Linked DNA regions of Drosophila melanogaster. The protein of the gene in region 1 interacts with the protein of each later gene in a pairwise test. Each region holds a gene or a part of one and is shown in the gene's direction. Other genes may lie near its edges.

Evidence for each region.
Region 2: the proteins of Cda5 (region 1) and elB interact in a two-hybrid assay, tested with the Drosophila melanogaster proteins (one large-scale study listed by BioGRID).

Annotation. Positions count from the first base shown.
Region 1 is NT_033779.5:56,250-60,865, reverse strand, and holds the start of Cda5 (chitin deacetylase-like 5), read left to right. Parts: upstream 1-1,597; 5' UTR 1,598-1,676; exon of another isoform or gene 1,677-1,907; intron 1,908-2,134; exon of another isoform or gene 2,135-2,617; intron 2,618-2,672; exon of another isoform or gene 2,673-2,683; 5' UTR 2,684-2,715; coding exon 2,716-2,785; intron 2,786-4,616.
Region 2 is NT_033779.5:14,406,519-14,411,097, reverse strand, and holds the start of elB (elbow B), read left to right. Parts: upstream 1-1,548; 5' UTR 1,549-2,661; coding exon 2,662-2,730; intron 2,731-4,579. UniProt on the Drosophila melanogaster protein: May negatively regulate Notch-induced cell proliferation in the eye-head primordium. May act in leg and wing primordia to negatively regulate body-wall specifying genes and thereby promote appendage formation. Required for tracheal development.

The DNA of each region.
Region 1 (4,616 bases):
AACAGAAGAAATATTTGTTTCAGGAAACGGAGTTATTACGGTTCATTAATGAGTTTGCCAAATCGCCTGTTTTACCAAACGTGGCCAAAGTGTTCTTGGTATACCGATAGAAATTTACAAGGGTTATAATAAAATAAAAAAAAATCTCAAAAACTTTTTAAAAGTGTGCGCGTGGCAGCTTTTGGGGGTTTGTGGGCATTAGAAGGAACGCCGCCAAAGTGTTCTTAGTATAACGATAGCTATGGGCGGTCTGTGGGCGTAAGAGTGGGCGTGGAAAAAATGGATTTGGCAAATGAATATAAATTTACAAGACTGATGAAAATATACAAAAAAATATGCAACAATTTTTCAAAAATGTGGGCGTAGCAGTTTCGGGTTGCTTGAGGTCGTTACAGTGGGTGTGGCAACATGGGACAACAAACTTGCGCTGCGTCCATGTCACTAGAATATGTATGCTGAATCTCAACCTTCTAGCTTTAATAGTTCCTGAGAACTCGACGTTAATACGGACGGACAAGCCTGATCGACTCTGCCAATGGTCTTGATAAAGTATTTGTATATTTTATATGGTCCGAAACGTTTAGTTCAAGATACACTTCGTTACACACTTTTTAATATAGTAACGGAAATAATTAAATAATTTCCTAAACAAAGTCAAAAATATTCAATGCAACAAAACACCTCGCCCTCCATTCACAGAAAAAATCGTGTGAAACACAATCCAGCAAAAATAAATTAATAAATAAAGAATTAGATTAATTCGCATGCCTTGCTCAAACCATCAGCCATCGCCGTTCACCAGAACCCCTTTACTTCAGCTGTTGTTTTACAGCTTTTGCTTGGCTTTGGTTGGCTGCTTTGGCCTAGTTCTTGGTCGTTGCCATGTTTTCAACTCGGTTTTACTTTCAATTCTATGGTTCGAAATTGGCCACTTTACTTTAGACTTTAGAGTAAAGCTATATGTTGGGCATATAAATCGAATTTATCAAGGGCAATTCAGCTGGGTGGTATTAATTCTAAAAGTGATTGAGTGGTCTTCCTTCGATCCCATGCTTGACATGGATTCAAGTCCAAGCCCATGTTGAAGTAGTAAGCATTCTTTAATTTAAGCACCGTAATCCACTATCGAGCGATCCAGAAACCTGCTGCTAAACGAAAATGTAACGAAAAAGGTAACAACATTTCACAATCGCCTTGGTAAATAGTTTCCCAGCCTTCGTTGGCTAGAGGGTGGATATTGTTGTAGTTTCAGAAAACAATAAACAAAGCCCGCTCCCCGCTTGTAGATAGCTTGAAACTGATGGGGAGCTTTGGATGAAATTCTCAGTAAAATGTTGAAATTCACTAAGAATATGGGTCTGGACTACATTTTTCTGATAACTTGTATAACTTGTAAAACGTAGCAAAGCTGCAATGGCGCAAGCGTTAACTTTACTCTTACTTTCAAAAGCTTAAGAGATACAAACGACTCCGCGCGGGTGCAGCAACAACTTGAACAGTCTGTTAATGTAAAGTAACAGTCGGGGCCAAGCGTGGCGCAGACCAAGCTTGGCCCAAAAGCCAGACTTCGAAACTTGGTTGGCTGGCTGCGCTTGCCCAGAGTCTCAAGACACTCGTCCGCACAGTCGCGCTGTATAGTTGTTTCGATTAGGACGTGTGGTTCGCTTAAGCGCACGGTAAGCAGAGACGCTCGAGGGTCACCCGAACTTGTCAGGCGGTCTAAACTGTTTGCAATAAGCCACAATCAATTTTTGGGCTTTCGATTGCTAATTTATTTCGTAAACGCGTCGAAATAAAGTCCACCTCTGACTGGACATTGCAACCAGCCAAAAATTTAACATTTTGTAGAAAGCAGTTTTAACTGCATTTTGCAGTTTAGTCGAAGAGCTCAAGCGTGTGTGTCGGTGGTAAGCTAACTTTGCGTTAAAAAGAAAGTTTACGCTAAATATATATACAAGCTTCGACAAACAAAATAAAAACGTGCAGGTTTTGTTTTATTTTGTTTCGCATTTTCCTCTACGCGCTACAGACTAGTTCATACAGAGTTTTCCAATATGGAGGTGCCCGCGATACCGTACGGGAAATCTAAATCAAACACCGATCTTCGATTTGATCTCTTTGCATTTTTGTCTAGCAATCTTTTCCATGGTAACTACAAAACGAACAGCGGTCATTGCAGTCTCACGTGAAAGAAACTAAAAAACCTAACTAAAAATCGCTTGCCAAAAGCAATGGAGGAAAACTAAGTGTTGTAATCTGTAAACGTGTGTGTTAGCTATGCATCGTCGCGTTGGTTAAAGCCAAACGAAAGCTCGAATAATAGGGGCAGAAACTAAATCTGCTTACAACAATACAAACATGTCCTAACCAAGTGAAGGCACAGCCACAAAGCCGCAGTCGCGGCATAAGCCAGACACACCATTAAGAAAACTGTAACACAAGGCTCAAAAAATCTAAATTGAAAAATTGCGACACTGCCTTCTTAGTTATTTAGCAATTGTTTTCAACAAAACAGAGGTTTTCTCAACGGTAACTGCCTCCGTCATCGGTACGGTGGCTGCTGCTGCTCCCCACTTCCCGCGCTTCCAACCACTATTTTTATCCGAGCTTGCCTATGGTATTTTAAATTCTGTGAACTAACCCCAAAACGAAACTGAACCAACCACATCAAGAAAATTTACAGTTACAGTTACGACGACACGCCATACCTGCAATATGAAGTATTCAACAAGTCGAATAAACATTCTGTGCCTGCTGGGATTGTGCCTACTGCTTTTTAAAACAGGTGAGTAATGCCCACTTCAGTGAAGAACACTCTGCTAGAAATACAAATGGAGGCAAAAACTTAAAAGAGCAAAGGGCTTACACACTTTACCCACTAGTCCTAGAAGAGTTAGCACTTAACCAGATTTTAAGACAACCATGGATAAGTATTCAGTTCATGTATGAACTGAAATCTTTTTTTAAACGTAGATCCGAAAAAGTTTTATTTTTAAGTGAATTGTTTTTACAGTACTATGGATTCTTCTTTTCCTCAATCATATTCGAAACTTCGTGATAGAAATATTATGTTCCGCAAATAAAGCCAAACTTGTTTTGAACACTGTTCCGGCTGCCATGTACGAGCTCGCAATAGTCTAATGTCAAATTCAATCACCGTAGAAGAAGTCAAACCACCAGCTGTTAACCACTTGTGTTGAGCTCTATTGTGGATACTCCGGCTCCGGCTAAACGAGTTTCTTAATATGTCCAAAAATGTATATTTATTTTAATATATATATATATATATATATATTAAGACATTTTACTGCGAAATGTGTTAGGATATATAAAAAGTAAGAGTATTTACATTAGGGTATGTATGGAGGTAAATACATGGTCTGATCAACTGCTCTATTTACCAGCGAACAATAACATAATCAAGCATTTCGACCATAACAAGCCTTACCGTGTCCAACTATTGGTCACTTGGGCTGTCTACTCACCATACTGCTGGGTAATGGTAATGGAATTATGTAAGTTATCAGCCAGCAGCCAACCAAGCAGCTTATGACACAGATATTAATTGCATACAGCTCGCTGACTCGATTGAATAGGTTCACTAAGTGAGTGAGTGTATCGGTGTAACCGAGCAAATTGTGGCTATAATAACTGTTGATAATTTTTAAAACAGTTTGCTTAATTGTTCAGACATTTTTTATGAATGATATATATGCAAAATTTGAGAAAACAAATTGGGAACTACGAAAATTGCTTAGATAACGTGGTAAGGATTAACACTATTAAAATTATAATAACAGCATTAGACGGCTAAATTGTTTTGAGATAGATTTTTTGTATTACCTTTGTGGCCTTATAAAGTGCATATATGTATCTTATTCATAACATATTAGTAAAAACAGCGAACTTGAAATAGCCAAGCCCGGCTGTCCGATCGTCCTCTTTTAAACAATTTATAATCTATCTGCTATACCGATTCGGTCGTTGATACTTAGCAAGAAATATATATACCATATATGGGCACAATTGTGTCCTTCACAGCTTTGAAATTTCTGACTTAAGTGAATGTACCCTCCGCAAGGGTATGAAGACTTGCATGACTTGGTTTAGGCATAGTGGCAACACTTTCCATTTTGATGAACTTTCTCAGTGTTTTGAGTGGTGTTTTTTTAAGCCACAGAAATATATATTTGGGTAAAACCTTAGATATGCCGCCATGGAAATATTTTCATGCGTAATTGCTAGGAAATTTGTGTTAAAACATTTGATGTACTACTGGTTTAATGCGAATGTCGATGGCTGAAAGAAAAAGGTTTGAGGCGGACGAGGCCAATGGCGAAAGTTGAACATTTGCAAGAACATTTGTTTAAGCGCGTGTTTAATGAATAGTATAACAAAGGGGTTTTAATCATAATTCAGTTTCAATGCCAGTTAAACCATTAGTATGGTGGTCACGCCTCGACCTAATCATTTCGTCTCTTTTTTACCGCAGGCAGTGTCAATGCTTACCGTGCGAAAGTTTTGGCGCACGCGGAAGATCGTCATTAAATTACTTCGCTAGGTCTTTGACTGTAACCTGAACACTTTATACGAGCATGTACGACCATTGGCATGGC
Region 2 (4,579 bases), about 14 Mb from region 1:
GTTTTTACGACCATTTTTGCTTTTTACGATGATGCGGACCCAATAGAGCAATTTAACCAGAGATTATGACTCCTATATTTGATTTCTTAAATTGCCCTAACGTGGGAGCTATGATTTAGATATTAAACTGCATATGTACATATTAAGCATTAAGAGAAATTTAATCGGCAAACTTGAATTACAAATTTGTTTTTTTTTTATTAACATTTTTTAATGTTAAAGATGTTACGATATTACTTTCGAACATTCCATTCTTATTGCATTTATAGCATCTAAGTGAGAAACTAAAATTGATTTCAGTGTGCAAAATGAGGGATAAGTTCGTCTCAGACATTTCCCGTCATCATGTGCAACCCGAGATTTTCATTTTCGCCAGCTGTTTTCTGTTTACAGTGGGGAAAACTCTCTCTGCGAAGTGAGGGAAATACACCAAATCGTGTTCTCTCCACGGAAATGGTTCTCTCGTTTGGTGCTCTAAATCATATTTCCTCGGCTTGCAGTTTTTAACACATTCCCCAACCCCTCCTCACACACACTCTCACACTGGCACACCAACGAGCGCCACACACACGCCCACCTGCTCGTAAACAATTATGGCCGACGCCGTTCCGCTCTCCACACGCACACAGGCGCCATGGCTGCACACACATGTGTGGAAATAAATTCCCCACAAAACACTGTGAAACAACAACAACAGCAACAAAATTACCCAAAATGGCTACACAGAAGCGGCGATCGTCCAATGAGCGTGTTGGTGTCGGTGTGCCCAGCGTTGTGTGTGTTGTGTTGGCTCTATTTTTAATTTCCAATATTTTATTTACACATTTCTAGAATTTTTTAGCTTTGTACTCAATGATAGCGCGCAAAGAAAAACTTTCCAACTGGGCGTATACGCAATATTTAAAACTTATTGCTTGATCTAAGTGTGAACTTACTTGTGCTCAGAATTACAAATTTCCAAAAATCTTTCCCTACTATGTGTATAATAAATGTTTAAGATTTTATTTAATAATATTAAAAAATCCTTATAATTCTTGGTACATAAGTATAATATAAAAAAATGTTTCTTAAACAACCGGGTACCGTGATTACCCTTCATTTTATTTATCAAATTTAAAGCGGAAATATACATTTTCAAAAATATCCAGAAATTTCCGTTACTTCCCATCGTCAACACTGCTTCTCCGTCACATAGTATCCGTCTACTACTAACCGCCAATTCTACTACGCTTTTTGGCTCTCAGCTCCCACGCGAAATTCGCTGCCTCAGCAAAAAGCATGCGCGCTCAGCAAAGAGCGCAGAACTAAAAACGTTTGCTCTCGTGCCCCAACTACTTCGCTCTTTCGCTCTCGCGCCCTAAGAAAAAGGGGAGCGCATGGCCTCGGACAACAACAAAAGCACACTTGTTGAAAACGAAAACGGCCACAAACAACAAAGAGCGAACTGGTTTTCAAGCGAGCGCGAAACTACTGAGAGAGCCGATTGGAGAGTGGGGGTGATACGAAAAGAGCGAAAAGGAGCGTGCACGTCATGTTGTTTATAGATTTTTAGTCGAATTTCGTTATTTCACGTTTAAAGTTCGTACGTGCGCTGAACGGACGGACTGCTACGACCGGAGTGTTGTGTTGTGAGTGCGAAAGCGTAAAATCGGCCAGGCGGATACATATGCACTTCCCCCAAACGCAAAAAAAAAAAAATTTTCAAAATATATACGAGAAAGTCAACACAATCGCCTATTTTTTAAGTCGTTTTCGAGTGATCCTTGTGCTTTATCAAAATTAGACTGAGTTTAAAACAAAGTATACATGTGAAACAAAATTAGCTCAGTAAATAGCAAACTTTTGGATAACCCCACGTTCCCGGAACCATCTAATAACGTACGTGCCTCATCATAAAACGCGCCCTCAACGAGGCATTCGAGCGAAACCACTAACCAAAAACGGCCAAGCCAAAGAAATAAATAAAGTACATACATACCTATGTATATCTAACAAAAGGAAAACCCATAAATGAATACATTGTAAAAGCCCATGCGTGAATCAAACGTAAATATTGTAGATGCAAGCCAGCAAAGAAAGTAGTGTGTAAATTCTTTTTTACACACATATGTATCGTGTACACATATAAATAATAAATACCGCTGAGGCAATTATAATACTTAATGAATTTATTGCACAATTAAAGCGAAGCCAGCATATCACAACAACAAATTAATATGCCGCTGGCGTGAAAGTCACAACTCGACGCATGAGAAATCCCCCCTGCGCCACAGCACTGAATTATTAATGAAATCGAATTACAAACAAAGCCCAGCAAGCATCAGCAATAACGATTGCGAATCGAAATCGGAATAAATAATAAAAAGAGGAAAAATAAAAAATAAACACAATAATAAATTATCATAAATAAGTACTCACATCAACGAGAACCGCGAAACGTGGACGGCTTAATCAGCGAAAAGTCAGGCAGCTGGAAAATATTTCAAGCAAGGCGCAGGCGCCGCTTTTCACACGAGTTGGCAGCACACGCCACATAAATTGGCACTTACCGTTAAGCGCACTGCCGTACTTTGCGGTCGGGACAAAAGCAACAACCACTCAACACCTCCACCGAACCACCAAAGAAAAGCCGTCAAAGTGGATTTAACAAATTATAATAAAATGCTGCAATCCAGCAATCATCATTATTTAAGACCGGATTATATGACAGCTGCAGCTGCCCCAACAGCGGTAAGCCCATCTCTTTGTCTCATTTTTGGGGTTTTTGGGGATAATTCTCACAAGGTATTTTATTCGGCAATCAGAAATTTATTGCGTTTATATGGACTTAGCGCTTATCGCCTAATACAGCTCAGTGATTATTGCGATTTCTTTTTCAGTGAGTTGGTTTAGCTATCTAATATGGGATAAAATATTAATTGAAAGGGATAGGTATCTGATGAACAGTTTCGGTTAAAAGTCATTAAAACTATTATTTCAAATATTGATTGGTCTTAAAATTTAATAATATTCTTAAATGTTGATAAGAAGACGTAAATTTCGTATTATTTGTTTTCGCATTCTTCACACTCTCTTCAGAGATTATTATTTCACTTTGGTGTTCCGATCGTTAAGTAGAACAAATCTTGTTAAGGGTTAAGTTCTATATATATCAAAATATGAATAAGAAAAATGCCAGAATAGTCATGGTTTAAACAGGATAAGAAGAGTAGTACAAATTCTAGCAATAACACCCAATTCGCTACGTTCGATTATAAAACTTGCAGCTATGAATAACAAACTATCGACATTTCAGACATCTGAAATAGATTGTCGAGCCATATTTCATATATAATAAAAATGTCGACTGTAAGCACTCGCCACTGGCGAAATATGTATGAAACTACGGCACCAATCCGAAACGAACAACCTCCTCCAAACTTCCAGAAGACTTTGGGCCATGTGCTGGCAAAACGGAACTGTTTTGCGGGGTCTGGGAAGAGGCAAATAGCGAATTCACAATCGTAAAACGATAAATTCTCCAATATCTGCACATAAAACTTATTTATGTTTGTTCATATTAAACTATGTAAATCTGCAGCCCAGTTGCCTCCGTCTGAAAGTGTTTAGAGAGTCGAGTGCACCTCTGGAAATTGTATCTAAATTTATGGCGCGCCAAATTTGAATTTATAATGACAGAAAACAAATGCAATTTCGCACACTTACACACACCGGCACACACACACACACACACGACCGTAGTTCGAGGAACTATGGCAGTTAATCAGAGTCAAAGTTGTTGTGGTCCCCATTTCCCCCACTCACTTTATCCAAAACTATCTCTCTTCGAAATGGCGTGAGACTCATAAATTTTCATTTTAATTTGTTGAGCGCATTTTGTTCGTAAAGAACGGAAGCAGTTTATGGCACCAGCACGATGAGTACATTCATTAACTGGGTAATTTGAAATAGCGTTTTCGGAGCTACGTGATTTACTGATTTCGGAGAGTAGAGCCCAGCCATTTCCATATTGGTCGTGTGAAAGCTTTTCAGTGGCGCAAATGAGGCAAAACCCATAAATCAACGGATCGTATATGCATACGAGGCCCAATGATGAACTGGTTCCGGTGCCAAGTGACTGACAGATTCTGTGAATCTGGGTTTCATTAAAATTTAAGTGTTGCGTCTTTAAGCAACGAGATGTAATCTCAAATTCTGTCGATCAGTAAATTATGACGTTCTATTAGTATACTCGCACTAATTATTTATGACGTTCTATTAGTACTGTAATGAACAAATATTCTTGCTAATACGTTTTTCTTTAGAGACTTAAGAGCTTACGCGCGGCACTTTGAGTTAATTTATGTTTACGTGTCTGCCGGTGACTGACTAACCTTCTTCTTTTGTGCTTTATCTGCGATACTATCTGCGAACTTATAAATTATTCAATGATTAATGGCAGCTGCTTATAATTAATTATAATAAAATCAAATAAACTAAGCCTGACAGCTGTCAGTGTCATCATTTGTATATCTTTTATGTGGCGCCCCATAAAAGCAGCGACATACACAGAAACACAGAAACCGAAAGAGAGAGATCT